Tamandua tetradactyla: one gene and its partners. The protein of the gene in region 4 interacts with the protein of the main gene of each other region in a biochemical or structural test. Links are inferred from orthologs where the notes say so. Each region holds a gene or a part of one and is shown on either strand. Other genes may lie near its edges. The genes, in order: AHR, BCL11B, BCL11A and NR2F1.

What was found.
Region 1: the proteins of NR2F1 (region 4) and AHR form a complex in vitro, tested with the Homo sapiens proteins (2 studies listed by BioGRID). The link is inferred for Tamandua tetradactyla from reciprocal best matches to the Homo sapiens genes NR2F1 and AHR.
Region 2: the proteins of NR2F1 (region 4) and BCL11B form a complex in vitro, tested with the Homo sapiens proteins (2 studies listed by BioGRID). The link is inferred for Tamandua tetradactyla from reciprocal best matches to the Homo sapiens genes NR2F1 and BCL11B.
Region 3: the proteins of NR2F1 (region 4) and BCL11A form a complex in vitro, tested with the Homo sapiens proteins (2 studies listed by BioGRID). The link is inferred for Tamandua tetradactyla from reciprocal best matches to the Homo sapiens genes NR2F1 and BCL11A.

The regions. Positions count from the first base shown.
Region 1 is NC_135327.1:106,847,404-106,854,518, reverse strand, and holds the start of AHR (aryl hydrocarbon receptor), read left to right. Parts: upstream 1-4,108; 5' UTR 4,109-4,323; coding exon 4,324-4,388; intron 4,389-7,115. UniProt on the Homo sapiens protein: Ligand-activated transcription factor that enables cells to adapt to changing conditions by sensing compounds from the environment, diet, microbiome and cellular metabolism, and which plays important roles in development, immunity and cancer.
Region 2 is NC_135338.1:60,547,498-60,554,769, reverse strand, and holds the start of BCL11B (B-cell lymphoma/leukemia 11B), read left to right. Parts: upstream 1-4,264; 5' UTR 4,265-5,119; coding exon 5,120-5,177; intron 5,178-7,272. UniProt on the Homo sapiens protein: Key regulator of both differentiation and survival of T-lymphocytes during thymocyte development in mammals.
Region 3 is NC_135343.1:32,912,239-32,920,177, reverse strand, and holds the start of BCL11A (BCL11 transcription factor A), read left to right. Parts: upstream 1-4,924; 5' UTR 4,925-5,029; coding exon 5,030-5,084; intron 5,085-7,430; coding exon of another isoform or gene 7,431-7,479; intron 7,480-7,939. UniProt on the Homo sapiens protein: Transcription factor. Associated with the BAF SWI/SNF chromatin remodeling complex. Binds to the 5'-TGACCA-3' sequence motif in regulatory regions of target genes, including a distal promoter of the HBG1 hemoglobin subunit gamma-1 gene.
Region 4 is NC_135347.1:37,656,742-37,664,491, reverse strand, and holds the start of NR2F1 (COUP transcription factor 1), read left to right. Parts: upstream 1-4,750; 5' UTR 4,751-4,824; coding exon 4,825-5,287; intron 5,288-6,442; exon of another isoform or gene 6,443-6,457; coding exon of another isoform or gene 6,458-6,516; intron 6,517-7,736; coding exon 7,737-7,750. UniProt on the Homo sapiens protein: Coup (chicken ovalbumin upstream promoter) transcription factor binds to the ovalbumin promoter and, in conjunction with another protein (S300-II) stimulates initiation of transcription. Binds to both direct repeats and palindromes of the 5'-AGGTCA-3' motif.

The DNA of each region.
Region 1 (7,115 bases), on a different chromosome or scaffold from region 4:
TATTGTCTCTAAAAATCCTAATGATCAGGCCACAATCCGGATCAATTAAATAACAATTCTAGACCAGAGAGCCAGATGTCCATGTTTTAACATTCTTTAGGTGATTATAATGTGTAAGAAAAGTTGAGAACCACTGTCTACAGATTGATTAAATTCAACTTCAATATTTTCAAGAAAGAATACATTGATTTTGCTTTTTAAATATGCATAAAATCATGTAGTCTTTTAAAGTTTAGCAAATCTAAATTACATACTTTAGGTCAGAGTTTCACAAAAATTTACATTTCTTTAGGCTTTTCTTATAAAGTCGTAATTTTCTCTTTTTCTCAATAGTTTTTCCTTAATCTAAATGCATTTAATCTTCATTACAGTTTATTCTGCTTATGATTTAAAGTGAAAAAATTTATGTATATAGTGTTATGTAGATCCTAATTGTATTTATCCCAATTGCTACATGGCTTTAAATAAAAAAAGACATATATATATATGAGAGACATAAATTATTTAATAAAATGTTTAATAAATGAGATAGGACTTTTAGCTTCATTTTTTTCATAATCTTTCCCTTAATGAAATTTCACATTTATAAGAACAGAAAGTCCAGAAAGCAAAAATCAAAATCTAAGTAAGCCTAAATTGTATTAACTTTAATAGAGTGTTCTTTTATGTGTTAGTCTTGATGTTTCTTATGACAAAGTGTTATCCTTGATAAATTTTACTTTGACTAGTAACAAAATATCCCTATTTTTTATTGAGGTTTCCTTGTCAGTTTTAGCATTGACATTAGTCTAAAAGGTATTTCCAAAGTTCTTCACACCTGTTAATTACTTGTTTGGTTCTTTTGAGTAGGACATTTTTGTAGACTAGTCAAGTAACTCAGGAAGGCATTATGCATTTAAAAATAGCCTTTAGAAACAGCCCCTAGTCTGTTCTTCAGTGCTAGAGTAGAAAAAAAAGTGATGAATAAATGAAATTATTTTAAAGAAATAAGATAGTTCCAGCTGAGATAAGATATATATTTTAGATTGAAACAGGAGTTTACAAGAACTGGATTCTATTCTGGGTGTGATCCACAGGCCACTACACCCATCTGGGCCTGACATTTCTCATCTGTTAAATGAAAGGTTTAGCTATGCCTAAATTTCTATAGCTTTCTCAGTTTGGTGTCTCAGTAATTCTTCCATGTTGTCACAGACTAAAAGAAATCAGACTCAACAATTGCACTTAAGTGCAAGTTAAGTTCAAGATTACATATGTTTCTCCTAATAACTTAGTGGCTATTTGAAGAAATATATGTACCCTTTTAAAAAAACAATATTTTATTTTAGTCTTAACGGGATGTGTGTGTCTGATGGGTACTACATATCTTCCAAAACCCTGCAGTCAGGTTGGAAATCAACATCTTCATTTTCTGTCCCACATTGATTTTTCCAGTCCTTGCATTTTATCACAGCTAGTTACAACAGCCCATCTAGATATGATTTCATCGAGAGGAATGAGGAACCATTTAACGTTGGAGCTGTGAACCACCTCTTGCCAGGGGTTTACATGGTATCCAATTGTTGCTCAGTATCACTGAGTTTCCCTTGAAAATTTAAAATATTCCAAGATGGTACTCCCAGGGCACTGGGTACGGTTTGGGAAGCATGGGGTTATGCTCTCTAAAGTACGTTATACACCACAGAATATAAGTAAAAAAGATAATTCTGAAGGCCTGGAATAAAGAGCTGCAGGAATGAAGAGGAAGTGAAAATTCTACTTAGCGTCCTGATTGCATGAATCTCTTCCCCTGCCCACTACTCCCACAAGATGTCTCATTATGCTTCGGATCTCAGCTCAATCCTCTTCTAGGCAGCTTCCCCTAAGTCATATCTCCCAATTACACATTCTTATCGTGCTCGTACAACACTTATTATTATTGCAATTACGCATTTATTTGTGTATTATTTGATCAATTCTAGTTTCTCCGATTAGAATATAACACTGAGAGGGTTATCTCTGATATTTCCATTGTATCCCACAGCATCTGGCACTGGACACCTTGCTGAATGAAATCAAAGTACTGTGATAAAACAGGTTTCACATTCTTTTTTACCCCCTTTATTCTAAAACAACTGTTATCTATAAAAGTATTCCTGAAATTTACTTCTTTTTCTCAGTCTAACAGGAAAATGGAACCCAAACATAATCTGTATCTGAAACCTCAGAAAATAATCACAAAACTAATTAGAAGGATGGCGTTGCTTTGGATAAGGCAGTCAAATATTCATGAAGTCTTTTAAGCAAATTACTCATTATAAGAAAAAATCATATTACTATCCAAAAACTGCCTATGGAAACTTCAAAAATCTTAGGGGATGGCTACAAACCATACTTTTAGCTAAAAGAAATGCTTTCAATTTTTTGATGCACTCAGTTTGAGGTTACAAATTTACTTGTCGAAATGGCTTGAAGGCATTTGAACTATAGGAATAGATATGTGAGATGCCATTTAGGCATCCTAATCTGCATACCCTTCTCTGTGCCCACTATCTTGGCTAGCAGCACCTACAGAAATTGTGGATGCCAGCCTCGAGTGCGCTCTTACCCCCTATTTCTTTATCCTTTCTATCTTCATCTGTGTTTTTTCTCTTCTCTCCATCCCACCTGCTACTTGCCTGGACTTTTACTTCAACTATTTCAACAACTACCCAACTACTCTCTTTGATTCTAATCTTTATAATCCAGCTTTCATCTTCATCCCAGAGCAGTTTTCTAAAACACCAGAATGCAATCCCTTGCTAAATATATTTTAAAAGATTCCATTGCCTACAAAATAAATTTTAAACTCTTCATCAAAGCTTTATGAATTAATCCCCAAATCTCTGAACAGCATGCCCAGCTCCTCTCTCCCTCTGTCCCAATTAGAACAGACTGCTACTTATTCCCAACACTTCCTGCCCTAAGTGCTTCCCCATTTCCTTTCTTCCACTAACCTTACTGAAACCTGACCTTGGAATAAGTTATCCTGATATTATACTGAGAAGTGTGGAGACAAATTGTTAAAAAAAAAAAAAAACAACGAAGACGACAAAAAAAAAAAAAAAAAAAAAAAAAACCTGCTGCAAAAATTCCTAGCCTTCAAGTCTAAACTCAGAAGTGACCTTCTAAAGTCTTCCCAAGTAGAACAATTTAAGCAGTCCTACTGGTTATCTTTCAATTCACTGTAATTCTCAGTCAAAAGTTACTCTTTCTCAAACAGGTGAAGTTAAACTCACTATTTGATATCGTGTAGCTACAGAAAGCTTGGCTACACGTAACTTGTTGTCACACCCTTTCCCCACCTGGAAATAGGTCCACAGAGGAAACCTCTTCTTGACCTCACCAAAATGGCAACTGAAGGGCGTCATTGCGTCTGACGTCATTACGCTCAGGAGGGTGGGGACCCTCCAGGGAAAGAGCCTGACAGGGAGGAGTCGAGGCTGGCAGGGCGGGACCGCGATGGGAGGGGCGGCGGCCGTGAGGGGTCTCAGGCCTTCTGCTCTCCTGCCAGCGCGCGCCACTGGAAGCGGCGCGGGCAGAGTGCGCTGGACGCTTGGTACCGACGGCGAGCCCAGACCCGCGAGCTGAAGGTAGGGGCAGCCGAGCGGCCGAGCGGAAGCTGGTGACCACCGGGACTGGCGGCTGGCGCCGGATTCCGCGGGCGGGGAAGCCCCGGAGCAGCGCGGCGGCGCCTGTTCTCACCCGCGGGGGCGCGGAGCCGGTCACGGGGCGCGGCGGCACCGCGCACGACCCAGGCCAGGCACCCAAGCAGCTGGCCCGGGCTCCTCCTGCGCCCGGGCTGTCTCACCTGCGGCCGCCCCGCCCACGCCGGTATAGGCGGCACCTGCGCCCCTCGCCCCGCGCGCCAGGCCCGGGCGCCCCGCGCTGCCGCGGCGCACCTGGAAGCGCCAGGGCTGCGGGAGCCGCGGGGCACCTGGAAAGGCCGGGGCTGTGGGAGCCGCGGCTCGCCTGGAAGGGCCTGGGCTGCGGGAGCCGCGGCTCACCTGGAAGCTCCCGGGCTGCGGGAGCCGAGGCGCACTTGGAAGGGTCCGGGCTGCTGGAGTCGCGGCGCACCTAGAAGGGCCCGGGCTGCGGGAGCCGAGGCGCACCTGGAAGGGTCTGGGCTGCTGGAGCCGCCGCACACCTGGAAGCGCCGGGGCTGCGGGAGCCGAGGCCCCAGCTTCCGCGCGGGAGGACGCAGGTGGAGCCGGCGCGTCTTCTCGGAATCCAGCGCGGGCGGCCGGCTCGCCCGGAGCAACGCGGGGCGCAAGGACGTCGGAGGGCCGCCGCTGGCCGGGCACCATGAACGGCAACAGCGCCAACATCACCTATGCCAGTCGCAAGCGGCGAAAACCGGTGCAGAAAACGTGAGTGTTCGGGGCGGCATCCTCGGGGGAGTGGGGGTGGAGGGGGCTGGAAGGCGCGTGGGGTCCGGCTGGCACCTCTGGGAGGGGCCCGCCCCCACACCCCCGCGTTTCGGGCGTTAGGTGGTATTTCCAACACAGCCGATAGAATCCAGATTTGAAGGTCGGTCGAGAGACTCGGACTTTTTAAATTTTTAATTAAGTTAAGAAATTGTCCCTTCTGACACCAGTGCCGAGCCCACCCACACCCCACCCCTTCACAGCTCTATTCTCCCTTCTGCGGTCCCAATTTGTGGACAGCTCTGGCCTTCCCTGTGCTGCTGGTGGATTAGCTAGCATAAATCTGCTCGAAATCCTCTTCTTATTTTAATGTCCGCATCGGTTAGAGAAGACGACTGTCATAATTCCCAATCTTGGAAAAGACAGACATCTGGGTAGGGCGAGGAGTTTTAAAGAGCTTAAAACGTGCCGTTTTGAAGCTGATTTTAGGGGGCTAGAGCGTCTGGGTTTCTGTTGAGCAGTTTTATTTATTTGATTGTCATTTTGTAGCGTCCAGCGTGCCTATAGATAGGTAAAGAGAGTAGTAAGGTTTGGTGTCAGGTGTGAGTGGTGCAATGGGGAATTGAATTCGTAGTCACGTTTTTGGGAAGCTTTGCCATCACTTGTGAGGTGCATTTGCAGTCTGTAAAGTGAAATATATGGAGCTGTATTTAAGAGAGTCGTTTTCATTCTTAGTACCTTCCTCTAGTTCCCTTTCTTCCCTACCTCCAAGCTTTTTCAATTCTAGTAGAGTGATTCCAGACTTGGATGGGAGTCATGGGAAGCGGCATATTTGTATGAGATGGCAAGTACTTTAAAATAGTGTTTAAAAAAAAATTGCGACAGATTTCCTTTTATCAGTTTCCAGTGTCGATTCCTAATTATAATCTGAGTTACTTTAATTCATCTATATTTTAAAATTTTTTATAAACTATTTTAAAAGCCCATTAAACGTCTGTTCAGTACATCAAAAATATGTATTTTGTTTAAAACTTTAGTTGGTAATGCCAATAGAGAAATAACAGTTTAAGATTTGCATTTGAAACTAATTATTGGTTGAAGATTTCATCATTCTAAAGTTTTAATTTCCTCTTAGATTTTCTGTGATCTTAGTGCCTCAAATCTAGACAAAGAAATTGGCATTAACAAAGGATATTGGACCGTCTATAAATAGACTGATTAAAATCCAAAAGTCTTATTTATCCTCTGTGTCTGACATTAGGTATATTGCTGAGTCAGCAGTTACTGTCTGGGTTACAGAACAGCGCATTTTGTGAAATAGCTTCTTATGTAAAATTATTTGTCCAATTTAACTTTGTTCTTGATGATTAAGTTTGGAAATATCCAAAATGCCTGTCCATGAGGCTGCTAATATAATACCATCCTTAGCTTATCATATAATAGAGTATCATGAGTTTTATGTGTGTGATCAGAAAATCTGACAGACTCCCTGATGGATTTTTAAGATATGAATTTCAGTCAGTGTGTTACAGAATGACACACCTGGCTTATTATTATTGTTATTAAATGCCTTAATTTTATATTCATTATGGAAGGCAACGTTATTAATTTATAGTTAATATTTTATTAGTTTTCCTTTTGTATTAATTTTTCCTTTTACTTGTATAATATGGACGCTTTATTATAATCTCCTAATATTTAACATACTTCCTAAGACTTTACTATACCTTATTTAGTAATTTCTTGTAATTCAGTATAACTAAAGCATTTTTCCTCATTCACCCTCATTTAGTTAGTATAGATGGCTGTCAGATCTTTACTGAACATCATGCATTACTTCTAATCATATGAATGCCTTAAAATATCATTTATTAAGGAAAGCCTAGTGCTAGCATTTACATGCTCAAGTGAAATGGTTTGCAAACTTCTACCTAGATGAAAAAGTTAACTTTATAATGGAGTTAATCAAAGGGAACTTTGATTTAGGAGTGAGGCCATTAAACCTAATCCTAAGTTTAATGTAATTTTTTTAGTTAAATTATTAGTTTGTGGCTAATGGGGTGTAAAACGTGTCAGCATTCCCACAGAAAAAATCCATCTTGTTCGGCTGACAATACTCTCCAGATCTTCTTAGCTTTGACTCCTTAAGTGATAACCATTTTACTTTTCTTGCATAGAAAATATGTTGTTTAGCACAATTATAAGACTGTTGAAAAACAGTTATTTAAATTTACAGTTCCATAAAATTTGGGGATAGAGTAAGAGACATAATTTTATCCTGAAGCTCTTCCAGCCTTCAATTCAATTTATTAAACAAAATAAACTCCCCCTAGTGGCAGGTCTAACATGGACAATTACCTTTATTAGTAGGAAATACATTTTAAGTGTGTTTAATTTAATCCTATTAAAGTATCTTTTACGTTGTAGATATTCAATAAATGTTTCTTTTCTCTTTGGAGTAGTGGTAATTAGGGAATTGAAGGGTCAGAAGCAAAGTTGAAGAAAGCATCTGATTCATGTTCCTGCCTTCACAAAGAAATTTTCAAAGAGAACCTCAGTAATAGATTGTCCTGTAGCTTTCCGTAGAACATTATTCCAATACTAATAACCTTGCTTGTTTTATTGAGTTTGGAGATAAAGGTGTTATTTATTTATTGTTTATTTTGTTTCATGAAGTCCACTATTGAATATAAATAGAACCAGCTTTTCTACTGTGATATTAACTCAGGA
Region 2 (7,272 bases), on a different chromosome or scaffold from region 4:
TTAAGTGTTTGTGACACTCAGAAATTTGCTGTGATTTTCAGAAATGAATAAAATAATTCTAGAAGGTGTGCCAGGAAACCCAAAAGGCCTCTTTTGTCTTTTTATGCTTCTGGATTTGATAGTACCTAAAGATTCTAGGAAGGAGGAAAAGGCCACTTTGGGAGCCTTATTAATATGTACATATGATTTGGTTAGTGCCTCTGTTGTGGCTTCCCAGCAAGCTAAAATAAGCCAACCTGCTGATCAGATGGATGCATTGTATTTATCCTCATCTTCACCGTCAATAGTGATCCTGAGGAACAGAAATTAGCAGACATGTTCTGCTTCTGAGTTTGCCCCACACTTGCAAATGTGAGAAGATTTGCCTTCTCCGCATGGATATTTTCCTTTTTTTTTTTTTTTAAACATCAAAAACGAAGTCCAAAGGGATTTGGTAAAATGTGTCGTTGAGTTTTCATATTGCCACAAAGTTATCTGACTACATTTTAGAGGATGGATCCCTATTTGGAGAAAAAACAACAACAAGGAATGAAATGTCAATTTTTCTTTCTGCAGAAACATTGGGAGTTCTCATTTCTACTGACATTACTTGATTCCAAATTTTTGTAAAGACAAAATATAAAATATAACCGCTCAGGAGGCAAAGATAACGTTGTACAATCTGGAATAGAGTCTACCCTTAGCTAGGAGTTAAGTGTTGAGAATTGCTCAAAGAATTTTAAACAAAGACTCTTGCTTGTGGCTCACGTGCGTATGATCTGCCCCCACCCTACGGCATGTTACACAGAGGGAATTAGAGTTCCACACACAATTAACAAAAATGGACTCCGATTTGATGAAATAATTTTTGATTTCTGAACTATTCCTCTATAAAGACCTTTAGAGGGATGAAGAATATGAGGGATTACCTGCTGGAATGCACTGGAGAGCTAGAAAAAAAGAGCAGGGAAATATTTGTGAGCTCAAAAAGCTTTGGACATCTGCTTTTCTTTTTTTAAGACAGTGCAGAAAATGTGGCATTTCTTTCCTTCGAATTCCAGTGTGCACAAAGCCCAGCTCCCAGCACACAGTGGGCCTGCAGCAAAGGCTTGTGAAATAATCCTCAACTGTTGTGATATCAGTTTAGAAGCATGCTTGGACCTGCACTTTTTCCTCTTAACATTCTCATCTATGAACCATCTGAGCCCCCTTTTTTGGGGCAGCGGTGCCTGCTATTCTAAACAAAGATTTGGAAGATGCAGAGGTGGGGTTGGGGGGAGTGTAGTACCCTTCTCAGAAGTTGCTGCCTGGGTCCTGAGCAAGGGGAGGGGCGCGGCTGTGGGCTGAGTTCCGCCGCCCCCTTCCGGCGCCCCGTCTCCCCCCTTTGGCTGGGCATCCAGAGAGAGGGGAAACCTTCGCGTAGGCCAGCTGCCCCTGCGGGCGGGGTCAAGGGAGAGGTCAAGGTCGGCCGAGAGGCGGCTATTGATCCGGCTTGGAAAGCGAGACAGGGTGTTCGGCAAGACTAAAGGGGGAGCTGTGAGACCAGACATTAACAGCTCTCAGCGCTAATGATGCCCGTGCCAGACAGGCAGAGGGAAAAGGAGGAGACTGGAGCGGCAGCTGGGATCGCTCGCTGCCTGCGCTCGGCCGCCTCTCCGGAGACTAGGCGGAGGGCGCCGGGGCCAGCGCTGGGCTGGGCCGGGGCAGGGCAGCCTCTCCCGGTTGCCGCGAGGTGGAGCGCGCCGGCGTGAGGGCCCTGCGCCCGCGCGTCCCCCAGCGCGACCATCTTCCCGTCGTCGAGGGGCAGAGCCGGGCCAATGAGGAAGTGCTCCCCGGGTCAGTCAGGGCCCGCGCCGCCCCCTGCCCGCCACTTCCTGCTGGGGGTGGGGCGGAGGCGCCCCCTCCCCAGCTCGCGCGCGAGCAGGGCAGCTGCAGCTGGGGCCTCTTAGCGTCCCTGCGCCGCCCCCCGAGGGGCCCTCTTTGTTGAGGCTGTGCCCCACTCCCCCGAGCTACACACCGGGTCTCCCGCTTTTCTGTAATTAACTCCGGGAGGGCAAGGGAGCGGGAAGGGATTTCGGGGCCCGGACAGGAGGCGGCGTGGGGCCGCAGGCACCCCTCGGGGATACGAGCTCAGACCCGTCTCCGACGCGCTGTGTGACCTCCGGCCGGGAGCTCACCCTCTCTGGGCTTTACCCCGCCGCTTCCCACAAAGAGCTGCTAGGTGATCTCCCAAATTTAGGAGTCTGGGCGAGTCGGAGTGGTCGGTTTGTAAAGAACTTTATTAAAGAACTTTATTGAAGGTGCGTGTGGGCATTTTTTATCTCACTTAGGCCACTTTCATGGAAAGATTTTGGCGGTGGGACGGGTTAGGAGAAAAGGAAGGCGCTTCTGGACTTTGGACCACGTGGATGTGGTGGGTCGTGGGCAGCGGCTAGCAGCCGGCGGTAGGGGACGTGTGGATTCCTCCCCGCGTCTCCACCCATTCGGTCTGTGTGCGTCGACCCCGCAGCCTCCCATCCACCGAACTGCATGCACGCTAGGGCACACATTATTGTTGTGATTTTGGTGAGAGTGGTATGGGTAGGGAGTCCTTTCAGTCTTCGATCGTGAGCGCTGCGAGCTGTTGGTGCTATCGCCCCACCCAGGGTCTTCGAAGCGAACAAAAACTCCTTGCGCCCCTCGAGGAATGAGTCCCGCGGGAGGCGGCGCGCTGGGAGGCGCCACCACTCAGCGGTTCGCTGGGGTGAAGCCTCGGGGGCCGGGCCTGGGGGCGGGGTGGGTGTAGCTGGGCTCACCTCGAGCCAGGCCCCGACCCGCCTCGGCCACCTCCCGGGCCGAGACAGGAGAAACCCAGAGAAGGGAGAGGCGTCCAGCCGCGTGGCGCGCCCTGCCCAGGAGGTCTCGTCATCAAATAAGGCGGATTTGGCCGCGGCCCGGAGAGGGCGGGGTTGGGGGTGGGGGCGGTTTGCGGAGACCGCGGCCAGGCCTTGTACCCGGACAGGCCCCCACAACTCCTCTTGTCCTCGCCGGCTGGAGATCAAACGGCTGACAAGGCAGCTGTGTCCTTCCCAGTCTGCCGGGCGATTTCAAGTCCTGCCCTGCGCCGAGGGGCACTGGGGTGAGGGTGGAGGGTTCCTTTGAGGAGTGCTCTAATTGTCAGGGGATGAGAGAGAGCCGATCCGAGGGGTCGCCCACCCGAGGATCTGCAGAGATCGGCCACGCGACTTCTGGGGTCAGGACGTCCAAGTTCCTTCCCCACGTGGAGCATCCCTGTCCTCTCATTCCTGCGTTCCCCACAGACCCCGGCCTTAGGCGGCGGGGCCGAGTTTGATTCTCCGAGAAGTTGATGGGATGGAGTGGAGGGAGGGCAAAGATTCCGGTGGAGATTCCTTCTGGAATGGGACTCAGACCAGGTCTCAGGCGCCTCCGACCCCAACCCCCCTCCATTTGCTCTTAACTCTTTCCTTTTAGAGTCTTTTATTTTGTTCACCTTTCTCTCTGAGAGTGTATAATATCAGGTTTTAAGTGTAGACACTTTCTGGAAGTTTAACGCCGGCTCCCCAATAAAAACAAATAAATAAATAAAGCAAACTAGCCACTTTTCCAGGGAGGTGAAGCAATTGGCTTTTCCAACCTTTTCCGCAGCACCCGCCTCCCCCAAGTCCAAATGAGCTTTTGGGTGGGTGGGAACGTGTATTGATTCAACTTATTCCATGCACACAGCACCCTGCCGCCCCCCCACCCCCCTTCAGGGGGTCCTGCCCCCAGGAGGGGAGGAGGGATAAAGAGAAGGATTTTCTTTTATTTAAAAATATCTTGCCCACCTTCTCCCCCTTCCCCCCCTCCTTGGGCCTTGTGCCGCCCGTGCTCCAGGAAAAGAGGAGCGCACAAAACGCTCTTTGCACGTGTGGTCGGCCTGGGCCGCGGGTGTGCTCACGGGCGACTGTGTGTGCGCGCGCGCGAGAGAGTGTGTCTCTCTCTGTGTGTGTGTGCTTTCTTGTTCTCTTGCAGGGTACAATGTTAAAAAGCCACCGCTAGTCGCCCCCAGTGCTCCGACTCTCTGGGTCTTTTTGTCTCTAGTGCAGATTAAACGTCACGTCCGCACTTGAACTTGAATTTTATCCCATTGTACAGAGGCAGCCCCAGCCATAGAGAGACCGAGAGCTCCCAGAGAAGCCGGACTCCGCCATCTTCACGTTGCAATCTATAGCTCCCAGTCCGCGCCCGCACCGACCCAGGCGCGCTGGGCGAGCCGCCCCTCAGCCCCGCTCCCCCCGGGCCGCGGCGCCAGGGGAGCGCTGGGGAGCGCTCGCGGGGACCCGGCAGCCCCTCCGGCCGGCGCCAGCCTGCCAGGTGAACTGGGAAGGAGCCGCTCCTGGAGTCCCCCCAGAGCCTCAGAAGGGTCAGTCTCCGAGAAAAAAAAAAGAAAAAGAAAAAAAAAAAAAAAAAAAAAAGAGGCAGCCCTCAGAAAACCCAGAAACAACCGAATCCGAGCAGTTTTACATTGCTTTGGGTTTTTTGAGGGGGCGGGGGGTGAGGGGGTACGAGTCAAGTCCCCAAGTTTTCTTCGCTTTTTTTTCCTTCGTTTATTTTTTATTTCTTTGCATTTTTTTCCCCCTCTCTTCCCCCCTCCTGGTAGAAGTGCGCTTTCCTTCTACCAGCCCCCGAAAGAAAGTGTCAGGAGCCGGTGCGAAATCCAGTTTAAGTTCAAGAAGACATTTGGAAGTCCAAGAGGCCAGCAGTTTGAAGAAGTGTAAGCGATTTTTTTCCTTCAAAAGAATATATTTTTAGAGAAACCAGCCAGTCGGCAGCAAGCAACAGCAGTTTGATTTTTTTTTTTTTTGCCTCTTCTATTTTAAATCAAGAGGTTTTCCTTGTTTTTTTTTTCTTCTCTTTTTGCAAATAAAACAAAAAGCGGTATAGAAGAAAGAGCAAAATAAAGAAGAAGAGGAGGAAGAGAGGGCAAGAGAGGAAGGGGAAACACACACACACACACACACACACACAACACCAAGCCGGGCAGAGGAGGAGGCGCGGCGGCGGCAGCGGCGCGGCGGCAGCGGCGGCGGCTGGAACCCCCTCCCCCGGCTCCCCCCAGCAGTGCAGCTCTCCGGGCGATGCCAGAATAGATGCCGGGGCAATGTCCCGCCGCAAACAGGGCAACCCGCAGCACTTGTCCCAGAGGGAGCTCATCACCCGTAAGTGTCTGCGGCGTGCGCGCGAGGGGCCGAAGGATCGGTCTCCGGGCGCCCGGGGCTGGGGACACCGAGCCGGGCGCAGTCGGGCCGCGCCAAGCCGGGCGCTAGGGCCGCCTGCGGGCCCGCAGAGGCGGCAGCGGCGGCCGGGAGCATGGTGGGGGACCGGGGAGCCATAGGAAAGTTTCTTTACAGCCCAGGGAGTCGGGGCGCTGCTCAGCCGGGCGCGCCTCGGGCTCGGGGGCCCTCGGAGAGGGCTCCGGGCCGGGGAGGGGGCGCGCAGGCTGGAGGAGGTGTGTGTGTGTGCGCGCTGAGCCCAGCTGGACGCTCGCCCCTCCGAGCGGCGTGTGTGGCGGCGGCGGCGCTGGTGGCGGGGTTTGGAGAGGAGGGGGAGGGGGTTGGGGAGCGGAGGGGGAGGGGGGAGCCGGGAAGTGGGGAAAAGTTGGCGAGCGCGTGGGTCCGTGCTGACGGCGCGGGCGGAGCAGAGCCGGGTGCGCTGCGGCCTGGGGGAGAAGCGAGGCGAGGGGCGGCCGCCGGCTCCAGGTCCCAGGTTGCTGTGCCGGGCCAGGCAGGGCGCTGGCCACGCGGGTCCTCGGATTCCGCCGCGGCTTTTCTCCACCCCTCCTCTCTCTGTTTGCAAAAGAATCCAGCTGCGCGGCTGTTTGCCGGGCTCAAGCACCCCCCCCCCCCCATTTCCCCACCTCCGTCTGTCTCCTGGGATGATCTTGTCTTCTTTCCCCCATTCCAAAAAAGGTGGTGAGATTGGGGCTGGTGAAAAATCCCCGCCACGGGCGGGGTGGGGGGAGGTTGTCAGCTAGGAGTGGGAAGAGAGAGATGCGCTTGTAAAATAGTAAAAAGAGAGAGAGAGAGAGAGTGAGAGAAAGAGAGAGAGAGAGACCGAGAGACCTATCAATCTCTTATCCATCTTTCCAGCTCAGTATCTTTCATATTCCCCATCTAAATAAACAAGGCAGGTCGCCGTGGAAATCCACCGGTTGAAATCATGTGGATTTCAAGCAAGTGGCGGGGCGGGCAAAGTCGGGCAGCGGGGCAGAGACACGGCAGCTTCCAATGCCCCAGTTCGGCTTATTTAGAAAAGGAAACAAACGAGCGCAAGCGGGCTAGGTACAAGATTTGCAGAGGTGCCCGCCCGGGGCCCCCGCACAGCTGCCCGGAGAAGGGAGGCTCGCAGCACTCCCAGCCCGCGGGGCCGCTTCTTCGCCGCGAGCGAACACTTCCCGCTGTTCTTTCTCTCACTGTGCCTTGGATCGCCGTGGCCGTTTTTGTTTTTTGTTGTTTTTTTATAAAAATTATTTTATTGCAATTAGAAATAAAACATCCTGTGGGTGCCATCGAGACCGCGGGCAGGTGGGGTGCCTGCGGTCCTCCGCGCACCTCTCCCGGCTGGGGCCGGGCTGCCCGCGCAGAGCTGGAGAAGGCTGCGCGCCCCGCGGCTGCCGAGGACTGGCTGCGGGGCGGCCGAGAGCCGAATATTTATGTTATATTTTAAAAAATTTAAATAAATAAATAAATATATAAAGGGGTTCTCCCCTCCCCTGAAAACCCAGTGTTGGAGCCATCTGCTTGGAACATTTGCTGTTGCCTTCTCTCCTTTGTTACAGCAGATACATTAGTAAGAATTTGTGGATTTATTTTTTTTCGGGGGGGGGGGATAGATAAACCGGGGCTCGGTTTGGGAAAGGAATGCCTTTTTGGAGGGAGGGAAGGAAGGCTTCTCTTTTATTTTTCGCCATTGTAACAGCAAAGAAGACTCGGCTGGCTGTCTTTAAAACAAAATGTTTTGCAACCCGATTTGAGCCTGGTTTGATCAAGGTCCTTTTCGCCAGCTGACATTTCGTTCCTTTACCAAGTGGCAGCCGTTGCTTCTTCTGCCACCCCCACCCCCCCTTTTTAGATGGTGGGGTGGTTGTTAAAACGTCTATACTTGCAGAAGCCTAATTTCTCCAGGAGGCAATTTGCCCCCCACATTAGCCGCTGTATAAATGCAAGGGTCGTTTTTTGAGGAGGGGGAAGTGGTGGGGGTGGTGGTGGGAGAAGGGGGTGTTGTTGGGGGTGCATTGCTAGGCTGGCGGCAGCA
Region 3 (7,939 bases), on a different chromosome or scaffold from region 4:
GGCATGGAAGGGACTGGGAGAGAAGGGAGCTGTCCTCTTTCAGCTCACCTTTTAATTTAGGGTGTCCACATAAGGCGACCCCTTCCTCACCCCGCTCCCTTCCCTTTTCATTTCATTTCCCTTTGTCTTCGTAGCACCTTTAGCACTTCCACACTCAAGAACCCCAAATGCAAAATCTATACCAAGTGTAGAATTCAAAGCTAAGTTTTATTTCTATAAAGATGACCGTACATTCTCTATTTTCCTGATCTGCCCATGATGGGGGGGAGGGGAGGGGAAGAGAAAAAGAAAAAGAAAAAGAAAAAAAAAGATGACATAAAAAGCAAAGTGTTACCAATCGTATTCTTAACCATTCATTGTCATTCATTTGTTTATCTTTAAGTCCAGAAGGGTGTTCCCCCTAAAGGCAGACAGTGAATATTTTATTTTAATCTTGTAGTTTCCAACGAGACAGACCTTTTAACCCTTCAGTCTCCAGCTCAGCCCGAGTTGCCCGCGCCAGGCGTTCCTGCGCACGAGGGCTGGGACTGTATTCTCCTCGCTCTCCGAGCTGTTTGTTGACCACGTTCACGTTCAGAGCCCTGGAGCTAAAAGCACTTTACACCATAAAATAAAAGCACTGTCTTTTTTTCTAAAAGGTTACGTCTGGAGGCCACGCGGCTCATACTTCATACCGAAAACTACTGAAAGGACTATGAAATTCTCTATGATTTACACTCTCTCACTGCATTAGGGTATAGATCTACTCGACTCTGAAAATACGGTGGGGTTTCTAACCGACGTGAATATATGTGCATTATTTCAGAAAGTCTGTTAGAAAACTTGTCAACACATTATAAAGCATAAACCAGGACTTGGCTATTAAGTACGGAGATCAGAGGAGGAATATATACTGCAGGAAGTCCTGGGGAGTCTCCTCCGCGGGCGAGATAAAAAGGGGGAGGAGGAGGGGGAGGGGTCATCTGCTGGCCTGGGGTTTACACTCAGTGTCGTCGCCGAAGGTTTGGGAAAGAGCCACGGAGCGTAATCACCCCCTCAATGGAATCGGCAAAGGGTCTACAGCCCCAAACGAAGTTAATTGAACGGCCAGAAAATCATTTTAACGTTGTCATAATTTATGACTTTCTAAAAGCCACTTCTGGAAAGGTAAATATAGTTACTGTGTGCCCAAGTGTGCGCTTTTAAAGTGACCTTTCACCCCCTCCACAAAACCACCTGCATCATTAATCAATACTTATGTAATATTTTTTAAACCTCCTAAAACAACACACTTTCATTTCTTTAAACACGCACAAACCCTCCCCTTTCACCACTTTTGGGCACTTTAGGGCGCATCGAGCAGCACTGAGGGAGGGGGCGTCACCGGGAAGGGAGAGGAACAGGGTGCAAGAGGGTGGGGGGCGAGGAGGGGTCGGATGCCGACGCACAGCCCTGGTTTTCGAGACCGGGCGAAATCTAACTTGGGGGGGGGGGAGGTGCGGGAGCAGAGGGCAGAGTTTCCATTTCGTCGTGGGCATTTAATGATGGTGAAATTAAATATATGTTAATAGTGGGAAAGTCGCTGCTTACCTCTGCACTGGCACCCAGGGAAAGCAGCTGCAAAACTGGCTTTTTAATGTATGTTTTAAGATGTGGTTTCGGAAGGACCCCCTGGAATCTGACACAAGTGCAATAACACAGTAGACCTACTTGTAACTAAGTGCTTAATTTCCCATGTTTTTTTTTTTTTAAAGAAAATCAATAAAATGTTGCCAGTTATTTATTGGAAATAACCACAGATAGCGGCCCTGATGGGGTGCCGGTTTTAGAGAGCCCACAATTGTGTAATGAATTGTAATTCAGAAGACTGTTAAATGTGAACCACAGAACCTTTCAGAGGTAATAAAGTCATTACTTTTTACACTACAGCCAACCCTGAAAAGCTTTATACACATCATTATATATAAATCATACGTATGTATTTCCACAGCACACATTCCCCACTTATATACTTTCTCTGTATATGGACTTTCATGGAGGAATGGGAATATTCAAATCTGAAATGCTCGGTTCCGAAAGAACCTGGCTCATTATCGCTACCTGCAGAGACTTTTATTTTATTTCTTTCTTTTTGAAGGCCTCCCAATTGCACTTTCTTCGTCCCGCTCCTCACCTTCCCTCCAACTGTCCGCCTCGCCGCCCCGCCTCCTCCCCCTCCCCCAGCAGTGACATTCATTTGGTAGCTCCAAGGCTGGTTTAACAAGACAAAAAACAGACCGTAGTGGAAGAGAGATGCTGACCTGCTCTGAAGAACTCATGAAAAAAAGAGGAAATGGTGTCACGCACACACGCCACAGAGCTTTATTGCAAGTGAATCTTCCTGCTTCTTAAACAGGATTAGAGTTTTTTCCCCTAAAACTGAAGCGAAACAACAACAACAAATCACATTTACACAGACCTAGACCAGCCCACACCTCTCATAACGCTGGCATCAAAACCACCTTCTCTTCCTTTGAGGGGCCCGGAGCTTCGCCCAGCTGGGCGAGCCAGGCATTTTGTAAATAGGCTTGAAACTTTACTAAGACGACACATGCATAAACAGGCGCTTGCCGGCGAGGCTGGGAGGTGGATGCGCGCGTGCAAGCCCGGGTTCCTGGTTTAAAACCATAACGCCTCTCCGCCGAGTGGGTGAATTTACAGAAAAGGCACCCCTTAGACTGAGGAGGAGATGAAAAGACACGAGGGGTCATGGAGCGGCTGGAAGGAGAGGGAAGGAAGGCTTCTCGCTCTGCAGACACACACTCACAAACGTCCACCTGCAGCTCGGGGTCTCGCGGGCAGCGGCGCGCAGTCTCCACCTGCACCCTCCGCGCCGCCCTGGGACTTGAGTTCATTTTCCTCCCCCCACCCCTCCACCCCCACCACGGCCCTTCCCGATTTGGAATCGGAGCGCTGTCTCGGTGGCGGCGGCAGCGGCGGCGGCTGCAGGGTGGCGCAGACAAGGGAGGGAGGCTGGGAGGCGGGAGACGCCGAGGGACTTTGCAGGCACGTTTCTGAATAAACTTTCCAATCGCAGGGGGTGCTGTTGCTGTACATTTTACGTAAAACTGAAAGTATCCCACGCCGGAGTGAAGCCCACTTTTTGACAGTGGCAACGTGTGTGTGTGCGTGTGTGCATTAAAGAGACAGGAGCTTATTTCCAACAGGTCTTCCCTAATTTCCAGGGAACGTCTGCAGAAAGGCGAGAGAGGGCTCGAGGCTCCCGGGTGTCCGCCTTGGCTCAGGGCGCCAGGGCGCCAGGGCGAGGCGGCGCTGACCCGGGGCTGCCGGTCGCTCCGAGGCGTTCACCCAGCCACCGTGGCTTCCTGGCTGCTCCTGCGAGCCAGTCGCTCTCTCTCCATTCCCCATTTTCTCTTTCTTCTGGTAACAGCATGGGAACAGTTGTGTCCTGCCCCCCGAGGAAACATCTTCTTTCCCTCTCTCTGTGCTTTTGCGGTTGCTCTGTGGCGGGAGGGGGTGTGGCCCTCCGCTGGAGCCTGCACCCGGGCCTCCCCCGGCGCGAGGAGCACGTTCCCAGAGACTGGGACTCCCGGGACTGCCCGTGCTTTGTCCTCCCGCCCGCGGCCGCTCGCAAAGGTGGACGCCTCCGCTCCTCCCTCGCCCTGGCCCTGGCCCTCGGCGCTCCCCTTTCGGGGCCAGAACGCACCCTTTCCTCTGGCTCCCGGTTCTTTATTCCTCGGCCTCTCTCTCATTCCGCGGCCCTGGGGAGCCTGGATTCCGCGATTCCAGCTGCATTCAGTCCTTGCCAGGCCCTTGGCCGAGCGCTCGGGTCCCCAGCCCTCGTCTCGGTCTTGGGGGCGCCCTCCCGACCCTCCGGCCGGGGCTTGCGCCGCCTGCCACCTTCCTCGTCCCTGCCCCCTTCCTCCACGCCGCCTGGGCCCGGGGAGGCCCTCGAGCTGCTCTTCCGGGCCCACAACCATCCAAACTTGGGCTGGACTCCGCTCTATCGCGCGCTCCCTCCCGCCTCCCCTCTCCCGCGGCGGAGCTGTAACTTGGAGGCTCAGCTTTCAACTTCGGGTGATTTTTCTTTGCTTTCCTCTCCTCAGGCAAAGTTTCCCGAGCGCAGCCGCGGGCTCCGGGCTTTCACTTCTGCCCCGGGCGTCCGCTGGCGGGAGCGAGTGCGGCGGCGGCGGTGGCCGCGGGGAGGGGAAGTGGGTGTGCGTACCGAGCGGGGTGTCCGGGAGCAGTTCTACCTGGCTTCCCTCCGCCCGCGCTTCCCCGGCCCTGGGTTTCAGGCTCCCGGTACACTCTCTCTTTTTTTTCCTTTAATCTTTCATTTTAGGGTCCTTATGTGGTGGGGGGTGGGGGGGTGGGGCAGCAGGGCGCGCGTCTTGCTCCCTCCACCCCCGCCGCCCCTTTCTTCTTTCCTGGCCACGCCGCTGCCGCGGTGCTTGCTGCGGCCACTGGTGAGCCCGCGGCCCCAGCGCCCCCTCCCCTCCTCCCGCCCCTCCCCCGGGGGCCGCGTCTGGCGTCTGCGGAGCCCCCCGCCCGCACCTCCCCCGCCCCGCACTGGCCATTGGCTTGTCCTGGTCTCTTTTTCATGTCCAGCCCCTGATGTGTGTCCATTGGTGTGAGCTTCCCCTTCCCTCCTCCCCTTCTCTCCTGCTCGCCCTGCCCATGTTTTGTGTGTCTCTGTCCATCCAGACTCCTGACGTTCAAGTTCGCAGGGACGTCACGTCCGCACTTGAACTTGCAGCTCAGGGGGGCTTTTGCCATTTTTTTTCATCTCTCTCTCTCTCTCTCTCCCTCTATCTCTTCTCTCTCTCTCTCTCTCTCTCTTTTTTTTGCTTAAAAAAAAAAAAGCCATGACGGCTCTCCCACAATTCATCTTCCCTGCGCCATCTTTGTATTATTTCTAATTTATTTTGGATGTCAAAAGGCACTGATGAAGATATTTTCTCTGGAGTCTCCTTCTTTCTAACCCGGCTCTCCCGATGTGAACCGAGCCGTCGTCCGCCCGCCGCCGCCGCCGCCCGCCCCGCAGCCCACCATGTCTCGCCGCAAGCAAGGCAAACCCCAGCACTTAAGCAAACGGGAATTCTCGCGTAAGTAACCCAATAATAGTAATAATAATTATTAATAATCACGAGAGCGCGCAAGACGAGAAGCAAGAGCGAGGGGGATCGAGGGGTGTGTGCATGCATTTTTTATTTTTCACGAGAAAAATCTCCGAGAGTCCTGTTCAAAGAGACTCAAAGGGGGGAAAACCCTCATCCCATCTCGCACCATAGCCGTGTGCACTTTGGGGATAGCATTTGCCTTTTAATTTTACTTAATTAAAAAAAAAATTTGACTCCTCCTCTTACCTTCTTTCCACTGCTTTATTTCTCTTTTAGAAAAGGAATGCAATGATTTTGTTCCCCAGTTTTGCAACATAATGAACAATGCTAAAGGATGCGAACAACTCACTTGCAAACCTGGGGGAGGGAGTTGCAGGGGAAGGGGGGGTTGCTTTCACTCAACGTAGGAAAATGGGGGGGAGGGGGAGTCCAAGCCTAAAATACCAATTCCCGGGGAGAAAAAAAGAGGTAACACTGGCCCTCGGACGCCAGCGCACTCACGGTCAAGTGTGCACCGGGAGGAAAGTAATCATCCCCACAATAGTGGGAAAGTGAGACTGTAAGAGGGGGGCCCGGACGCTCTGGAGTACGCCAGGTCTGAAGAGGGGCCGCGCGGTGGGGAGAGCCGGGGGACCGGGAAGGAAGGGAGACGCGGCCGGCGCTGCCGCCTTTTGTTCCGGCCCGAGGTGGGTGTTTGTCCCGCTGCCTTTTGTGCCGGCTCCTCGCGCTTGCCCTCCCGCGCCGCCACTGCCGCCGAAGGGCAGGGGCAGGGGCCGGGGGAGGAGGCGGCTGGGGACGCGCGCGAGAAGAAGGGAGGGCGCTGGGGCCGTCGCCGCCCCGGTCGTCGCTGCCCGCCGCTCGCTACCGAGCCTCCAAGGCGAGGGGAAGACGTGTAATAAAATAAAATGAAATACCATAAAATAAGGCAAGAGAAATAGAAAAATTCGTGCCCGAAACCAGAAGCCAAACGTTACGACAGCCCTTTCTACAACGGTCTCCTCTTTGACTCCCCCACCCCCCACCCCCTGCAAAAATCTCACATTCTCTAACCAGGAAAAAAAAAATCGCAATCATCCCCTTCCCCAAAACCCCTTCAGTTGCAAACTTAGAGCGCCGGCGGCACGGAGAGGGAGCGAGGAACTCCCTCCTCTTACTATTTTTTGGAAGATTTTCAAAAAAAGTGGAAGTGGATTTTGATTGGGAAAAATCTCGTGTCTGAATGTTTACAAGCACCGCGTGTGCGGGAGCCTCCTGCCAACAAACAGAAAGAGGACCGAGCGCGGCGGGGCCGCCCGGGAGCGGGCGGCGGCGCGGCCGGGCCTGGCCAGGGACTCGCCGGGCCTCACCGCGCCCCCACCCAACCAGGGATCACCCACCCGGCTCCCGCCCGGCCGCCCGCGGGGCAAGGCGGCGCAAGGCTGCAGGCCACGCCGCGGCTCCGCGCCAGCCGGGTCCGCGGTCCCCGCCCGCCCCCAGCACAATGCCCAGAACTCCTCTTAGCCTCCCCGCCGCCAAACCGGCTGGGGAGAAACTCGGCTTTGCAAAGCATTTTGCAAAGCAGTTGAAAAAGCACATTTCTGCGCGGGTCTGCATCACCCGCTCTCCTTCTTCTTCCCCCCTATGGTACTCTCAGACGTTTCTTGTCCAGTAGTGCTCTGGGTAACAGGGGACAGAAGAGAGGTCACCACGTGCTTCCCTTGCTCCATCTCCCTCCCGGTCTGGCCACCAGCAACCTGCGCCCGAGCGCAGCCAGGCCAGGTGTGTGTGTGTGTGTGTGTGCGCGTGTGTGTATGCCGAAGATGGGGAGTGGGTAAGCAGAGAAGTGTGTTCGAGTATGTGCTTTGGGGGCGCTGCATTCAGAGACCCCCGCGCTCTTCATCCTTGGTTCTTGCCCTCTTCCTCGGCCAGGTTCGGCCTGGGATCCTTTTGAATCTATATACCAAGGGGAAGGAGGGTGGGGGTGGGGGCTCCCGGTTAACTGAGTGCGCCTGGAAAGGCGGGCGGTGGGCACTTAGGAAAGTTTGGCAGCAAGGGAAAGGCAGGTGTGAGAGGACTTGCATTCCTCATCCAACCCCCCACTTCACGACATTTTAATTTTTGATGCAATTTTTAAAGGACCACCTATACCCAGTTCTCTATTTTTTAAAGGGGTGGGGAGTGCGCACAGGGAACAGCATTTTTCACTGGGCCCTGGAACTTGTCACACACTTCGGAAGCTCCCCCGCTCCCCCCGCCCTCGCCCCGGCACGTTGCGGGGCCCTCCCTCTCCCCACCCCCGCGCATCCCTCTCTCGCCGCTCTCCCCCGCCCCCCACTCCCCGGGCCGCGCCGGATGCGGAGCAGACGCGGAGCGCGGCGGTGTGAAGTTACAGCCCGGCCAGGTACCGGCGGGAAGGAAGGGCAGTGTGCGCAGGACTCGGGAAAACCGGGCCCTTCTTCTGAAGGATGCTTTGGGGGCTCAAAGGACACTCTGGGGTGTGCAGTTCTGGCTGTTCTTCCCTCACACTTCTCGGGTCCTTCTCCGGCCACTCCAGTTTGGAGACTTGGCCTCCTTCGCCCCCCACCCCCCCCCATGAGGGTGCTGGCCCTGAGTTAAGAGGCCAGTTGGGTGGGTGCTGGGGTCGCTCCTTTCCTTCCTTATTTTCTGGGCGCGTCGAGGGGGGCGGGGGCTATCCCGGCCCTCAGCATCGCCCCCCACCTCCTCGCCCCAATCCTCCGCTTCTTGGACCGAGTGAACCGTTCGGTCGCTAGGAGGCAGAACAAGATCGAGAAAGCTCGGCGAACTTGAACCTGTACCAGCCTCCTCCCCCACCCCCTCTGCTCTGCGTTACTCTCGGCCGG
Region 4 (7,750 bases):
TTCCCGCCGGGAGGAGGCAGGGGAGAGAGGATGGGGCGGGGAGAGGGTATCCTGTTTTGAATCTGGGCTGATATTTCACTGGCGCGATCCTCACCTCCGAGGCGGTGCGGCGGCCTCAATGCCAGCCTTCGCGCCGCAGGGAAGGGGGCCGGGCGAGGGCAGCTCCCCGCTTGACCCCACGGAAAGTTCTCCTTGTCCGGCCCTGGCTAGGATCCCGGCCAGGGGAGGCTGTGAGGACCAAGGCCGCCTCCCCTCCTGCCCACGTTACCAACCCCGAGTTCTAGAGAAACGATAATTATTGCGTTACTCGCCTGGTTGGAGCAGGACTTGGCCGACTTTCGCTTCTGGTGCCCACGACGCAAGGTCCAAGGTCCGAGGGCGATTGGGCCCGCGGACCCAGCGTCCAGCTGGCCTCCAGTTGCCTGGCGCTTGTTCTTTCCTCCTGCTCTTGCCTCCTCTCCCACACGCTCCGTCTCTCTCCGCGCTCTTTCCTCTCCCTGTCTCCCTCCCTCCCTCCCTCCCTCTCTCTCTCTCTCTTTGCTTGTCTTCCTCTGTCTTCCACTCCCTGCCTCTGAACGGTCTCGGGAGTTAAAATTTAGGATTTCTATATAGAAATTTTGCTCTCTTTTTTTTTGGCCTGCTTTAATCGCATTTATTTCGTCTTTTAACTGACTAGGAGAGGTGAGCAAGTTTATTTAGGGAGAGGGGCAAGGGCGAGAAGTCTCTCGCCTCCAGTTGCCTCCTCTCCATCAGCTGCGTACAATGGGCTGCCTCTCACAGGGTGCATTCACAGTCTTTCCATTATCCGAGCTGGAGGGACTTGGGGGGGGGGGCAGGCACAAGAAAGCCTTTATTCTGCTCTTTAAAATATCTCTTCTGCTCGTCACTAGGCGGTCGCCGATTCCCGACTTGCAGGCTGGAGAGACAGGAAAGCGCGAAAAAAACACCCCAAACAGCAGCGCTTCCCAACTCCGCCTTGGTGAGATTTAAAGTGAGAACCAGTATTTTAAAAACAAACCCTTTTTCTGTCTATATAACGTGACTGTATACTTCCACCTTTACCTGAGGGCGTGTTGGAGCTCAGGATGCTGGAGCTGAATCAAACTTTCATGCTCTCCCCAGTCGAAAGGCTGGCGGGCGAGCTGGGATCCCACCCCGAAGGCTGCAGCCGCCGCTTTGTCACTCCGCGCCGCTCCGCGCCCGCCCAAGCCTGCCTAGGGGAGCGATCTCAAAACGTGGGGGGTGCAAGTGTGCGATTGGAGAATATGTAACTAATAGAAGTATCATCTTTTCCCCCTGTACAATCTTTCAAGGAAAAAAAAATCCATTGAAAGAATTTTCAAAGTGTTGTCTTCGTTTGGAGAATAGTCGCAGGCTGCCTGCGGGGAGTGGAGGAGGGACTCGGCTGTGCGTGGTCCGGGCGCGGCTCCCGTCCGCTAGGTGGCAGCCGGAACCAGCGATTCCTGCAAGCCCCGCAGTGGGACCGCTCCTCCCGCGGCCCCTCCTCCTGTGACCAATCACCTTCGGGATCAGGGCGCTCGCTCTCGCTCTCTCGCTCTCTCTCTCTCTCTCCCTCCTCTCTCCTCTCTCTCTCCTCCCTCTCTCTCTCTCTCTCTCTCTCTCTCTCTCTCTCTCTCTCTCTCTCTCTCTCTCTCTCTCTCTCTCTCTCTCTCTTCTCTCTTCTCTCTCCTCTCTCCTCTCTCTCTCCTCTCTCTCTTTCTCTCTCTCTCTCTCCCCTCTCTCTCTCTCTCTCTCTCTCTCCTCTCTCTCTCTCTCTCCTCTCTCCGTCTCTCTCTCTCTCTCTCCCTCCCTCTCTGTCTCTCTCTGGTCCCACCCCTCCCCCACCTCTCCTCTTCTCGCTCGGTCGCCCTCTCCTTTCCCGGGACTCTGACTTGTCTCCACTAATCCCCTCCAAACAACAAAATCAGGATTTACTTCCGTTTTATTAATAATTACTGAAGCGTTGTTGGGCGTTGGGAACAGCCTGGGGATACTTTAAAAAAAAAAAAAAAAGGAAAAACTAGATTGAAAAGTTTATTTTTAAAAACATCTTTGGAATCAATAAGTACAGTTGATTCGGATCGAATTTGTGGCAATAGCTGCAAAGTCCAGTAATTTGCTTTATCCAAATCATAATGTATTATAATTAAACCATTAAAACCAAGATGTACGGGGGTAGAAGAAAAATAGGGAAACCCTACCCTGTTTCTATAAAGGAAATAAAATTAACAGAAGCCACACTTGGTTTATTCCTATATAACTGAAGAAAACAATCCAAACCCAGTATATTTCACGAATCATTAAAATGATGCGGGTTTCATTCCCATTAATTTTTTTCGAACATTTTCAGTGACACTGCCTTCACGCTCATAAAATCTAATTTTAAAAACTTTTAAGAAGAAATCAAAATAATTTCCTTCTAATGCTCTTTTCAGCCCCACTACAAAACATTCTCCCCATCTCTATCCCTTCCCCCTCTGGTGTGAGTGTGTGTGTGTGTGTGTGTGTATGTGTGTGTGTGTGACCACAAACGACCCATACTAATCAGGTCTCAGAGTAAATAGCAGCGCAGGGCGATCTCAATGTAAATTGCGCTTGTCAGAAGCACAACCCCCTCGCTCACTTTCTCTCCTCCTCCCCTCGCCATCCCAGTCAGTAGGTAGCTAAGAGGGAGGGGAGAGAAAAAAAAGAAAGAAAGAAAAAGCCGAGGGGGAGGGGCTCTCCAACCAATGGCGTGCGGGAGGCTTGGCTAACCTTAGCCTCCCGTTTTCTCTCCCCCCCGATTCAGGGCTCTGACCAGTCAGTCGCCTTTGATTATCAGTTGCCAGCAGCCCTTCTCTTGGCTCCTTGACACGAGCTCCATATAAGGCAGCGATCTCCATAGAAACGTGTCAGTTTCAATAGTAGTGTCAAAGTTCACTATATACAGACATTCGCGCAGATCCCCCTTTCGGAAACATTGCTCTGCGAGTCCTCCCGTTTAAACGCATTCAATTTTTGGGTCTCTCTCTCTTCTCTCTCTCCCCCTCTGTTTCCCTCTCTCTCTCTCTCCCTCATCTCTCTCCCTCTCTCTCTTCCTCTCTCTCTTTCTCTCTCTCCCTCTCTCGCTTTCACTCTCTCTCTCGCCCTCTCTTCTCTCCCCCTCTCCCCTCTCCCCATTCTCCTTTCTTACATATTCTATTAGTTGTTCGCCCTTCTTCTTCTTCTCCTTCTTTCTCTCCTTTTCCCCCTCCTCCCTGTCTCTTTTACTCCATTCCTGAAGAAGAGAGAGGGCTAAACTTAAAAAAAAAAAAAAAAAAAAAAAAAAAAAGGAGGAGGAGGAGGAGGCACCCCTTCGTATTCTTCTTATCGTTATTTTATACATATATGATATTTTTTAGAGGGAGGGTGTTGGTTCCCGGCTGAAGAGCACTTATTTAAAATACTAAAAAAAGAACATTTTTGGGCGCTCTCCAGGGTTTTTTTAACTAGCTCTGTGTGTTATAGCAGAAGAAGCAGAAGAAGGAGCAAGAAAGAGAAAAAGAAGAGGATTATTTATTCGACCTACTTTGGATGTCTCACTCGCTTTTTTTTTTTTCCCCAATTCTTTTTGCTCTGATTTTTATGTTTTCAATTTCGCTGTGAATTCGTCGCCGGCGTGAATATCTCGTATTTTTCTCCCCCTTCCGTCACCTCCTGAAAGAAGAAGGCAACGAGAGCCCGGCGCCACCGGCACAACAAAAAGAGCAAAGTGTGTGATTCTCCTCGCCGGCTGCCTCCCGCTTTCCAGCGCTGCCTTCCTGAATGGCTGGCTGCGTCCGGCCCTGGACCTGGCCCCCCGACACCCGCGCGCCCTGATCGCCCCCGGCAGCCTCACCCCGCGCCCTGCGTGGCTCCCCGCGCTTCCCGCACTTCCGAGCCTGGAGAGGGCTCCCGCCGGGACAGCGGCGGCGGCGCGGTCGGCCCCGGCCCCGGCTCGCGCTCCGGCTGCAGCCCAGTCTCCGGCTCGGACCCCCGCCCCGGCCGGGGCTCCTCCAGTGGCGCTCGCCGCAGCTGCTGAGGCGGCGGCTCCAGCGGCGCCTGCAGCCGCGACCTCCTCCGCCGCCGCCGCCGCCGCCGCCGCTGCTGCCTCCGCCGCCTCCGCCGCCGCCGCCTCCGCCCTCGCCGGCTTCCTCTATGTCGGCTCAGCCCGCGCGCTGCGCGTAGCCCGGGCGGCCGGCGGGCGGGCGGGCGCCCGGCGCGGGTGAGCGAGTGTGTGCGAGTGTGTGTGTGCGCGGGGGTGCGGGCGAGGCGGAGGGCGAGTGTGTGCGCGCGCCGTGGCCCATGCCCGCCGCCCCCGGCGCAGCGCCCCGCGCCGCTCCCCGCTGCTGCCTGTGCCATTTCTGATTTTGCAACTTGGGGAAGAAGAAAAAAGCGAGAGAAGGGAGCCTGCTCGCGGGGGGGGGGTGGGGAGGGGGGAAGGAGAGTGCGGCCCCCCCCAGGAACGGAGCGCGGGGGGAGCGGGCTAGGGGAGCAGGGGTGTTGGGGGGGGAGCTTGAGAGCCTGGGGGGGCTGCAAAAAGAGAGAAAGAAAACAGCAGGAACCACAACAAAACGCCAGCAGGGCGGGCGGGCGCGCAGCAGCAGCGGGGCGGCCGAGGCAGTAGCGGCGGCGGCGGCGGCGGCGGCGGCGGCAGCGGCCGGTGCCCGGCTCAGGCTCGGTTCCCGCGACCCCGGGGCGCCCAGCGGGCCCCCCGCCCCCTCCCCCTCCCCCTTCCCCTTCCCCTTCCCCTCCCCGCGCTCTTGCGCTCCCCACGGCCCTTGGTGAGCAGCTCGGCTCCCCCCAGCGCTCCCCGGGCCCAAAGATATGGCAATGGTAGTTAGCAGCTGGCGAGATCCGCAGGACGACGTGGCCGGGGGCAACCCCGGCGGCCCCAACCCCGCAGCGCAGGCGGCCCGCGGCGGCGGCGGCGGCGCCGGGGAGCAGCAGCAGCAGGCGGGCTCCGGCGCGCCGCACACGCCGCAGACCCCGGGCCAGCCCGGAGCGCCCGCCACCCCCGGCACGGCAGGGGACAAGGGCCAGGGCCCGCCCGGCTCGGGCCAGAGCCAGCAGCACATCGAGTGCGTGGTGTGCGGGGACAAGTCAAGCGGCAAGCACTACGGCCAATTCACCTGCGAGGGCTGCAAAAGTTTCTTCAAGAGGAGCGTCCGCAGGAACTTAACTTACACATGCCGTGCCAACAGGAACTGTCCCATCGACCAGCACCACCGCAACCAGTGCCAATACTGCCGCCTAAAGAAGTGCCTCAAAGTGGGCATGAGGCGGGAAGGTGAATATTTCTTCTCTGCTTCTCTCCCCGCGCTTCGCCCGCTTTCTCGGCCCACTTTCTTTCTCCTTCGTGGGGGTGGCTGCTGTGTGGGGCTCGAGCGGTCCCGGCCGGTCCCAGCTTCCCCTGTCCCCGCTGCCTTTCTCCCCCGGCGTTCCCGCCCCCCCTCCCCAGCTCGCTGCCGCTGCCTCCCCCTCCCGGCCTGCGTTCCTCTCCCCGGCTCCCCACCCCGCCCGCTGCCTGCTCCGGATTGTATCCCTGGGATCGTGAGCTGTGGCTTAAAATCCCCCTCCCTCCCTCTGTCTTGGATGTGCTCGGTGTGTGTCTCTTTCCCGTGTGTGCGTGAGGATGCTTGGGGCTGTACTGGCATGAGCCTGGGGAGGGAGTGCTTATTTCCCCCATAAAACTCCCTTTCTGTGTTTTTTCATTCCACTTTTCCCTCCACCTCTTCATATCCTTTATTTAAAATGGGGGAGGGCGGCAAGCTGAAGTATTTTGAACCGTAGATTCATTGCTGCCATCATCCTTTTGGAAGCTTAGCTTGGAAAAGAGGAGTGAGATTTATTGCACTTGTAGGTCTAATTAGGGGGGAAGGGGGGCTTCTGGCCCGTTCACTGGTTCCCTGTCCTCTCCCCGGAGCTGGGGGCTGCCTCCTCTGGAGCTGTGGCCTTCTTTTCACCCCTCTACTTTGAAAGGAAAGTTTGTGACTGAACCGTGCTTTCATAGTTGTGTCATTTTTAAAGAAGCATGATACTCGTTTTATTTCTTCATCAAACTCCACCCTCTGCTTAAATACTGCATACAAATTACAATTTACAACGCATTTACCGATCCTTCTGATTTGGCCATAATGCATAGACTTACAGCTGGTATGAGCTTCCACTTCATTTAATCCCTGTGTTGTATGTTTCTTTCTTTCTTTTTTTTAAAACACAACTTTGATGTTGGGTTTAGATATGTTTCATGTTCATGTGGCAGGAGATTCAGCACTTATCTTATAAATATATTTAGCCATTTACAGTTAAAGTTTATCTCCCGACAATCGTTAAAGATGTCTTATAGTCAAATTAGCAAACCAGTCAATTTTGCAGAATGCAGATTACTCCTTCTTATAATTGACTTTAAAATTACATTTTATATGCCACAAGAAAAGAAATTGAAATCCTTTAGATCTCAAGGAGCAAGCAAATATGACGACTTCATTCCTAGCTCCAGGGAGATTTTGTAGGCATCTGAAAAAAACAACAACAACAACAACAACTTTGAATTGTGCTCTCATTTAATTGAAAAATAACTGCCAAGTTCAAAACTATAATTAGAAAAAAGTATTCTAGCCGTTATGTTTCAAGAGCTTAAATTGCACTTGGGCTTGCATTAAAATTAGAAGCAAGGCAAACTTAAGAAAATAGTACACTACCTGAATTTAGAAAGCTGCATGTACTTGGGTATATCTATATTAATTTGTTGGGGGGAGAGTTCAGTAGCCCTAACTTTTTCTAAAGTTGCCTTTGTTTACATGGCAATTTAAAATGCTGGCACTGTTGAAGTAAAACATACACTTTGGAAAAAAAAAAAACTTTGGTCAGCTTTAAGAACTCAAAGCATGCTTACGTTTTGCATTCAGATGGTTAATGAATCCAGTGTTTTTGCAGTTGCAAGCTCGTGCATTCACTGGGCAAAAGCTGGCTGCAGGTTGCAGTGGCACCGCACAGGACAAACATTAATTATTATTCCCACTTTTTCCAATAATGTTTGGCTACTGTAAGTTCAACTTATTTTCTTGAAAATATTTAGTTTTGTGTTGCTTTTAACAGCTAGAACTTTGTATGGGGCTATGTGGTGGAGGGGAGAGGGGAGGGGTGATGGATACTTGTTCTCTACTCAAAAGTTGTAATTGGTTAGTAACTTGTACCTATTTTAAGGATAATTCTATAGCATTTTTAGAGAATATGGAAACATTTTATGAGCAAAATGCTGCTTGCTTGCAAATAAGGAGGCCTCTAGCTATTTGCCTAGAATCACCACCTTTCTGAGGTTTCGCCTATTTTTTTTTTTTTTTAACCCTGATTTGCTTCAGTCTGGAGGGGTGAGTGGGGTTTCATTTTCCTGTGTGTTCCTCTTTGGTGGCGGAGGGGTTGGCACTTTCTTGTCTTAGGAACAGGGCTGGCCTTGCCGGGCCGGGGACGCTGAAGTCAGGCCTCGTTCCGGCACGGTTGGGGTAGCTAGGGGTGCAAGCAATAGCTGGGCACCTCGGGCCGCGGAGATGGCAGGCCTCTCCCCGGAACTCCTCGCGATGTAGGATGTGAGTGAGACCCAGCGCGCGAGAGGAGGTGCGCGGGGTGCGTGTGGCTGCGGGCAGAGCCTCCGCATTGTGTCGGGTGCGCTGCGGCGCGGCGATATTCGCAAGCTCCCTGGATGCACATTGCCTCTTTTCTCTCTTTCTTTTTGTCAGCGGTTCAGCGAGGA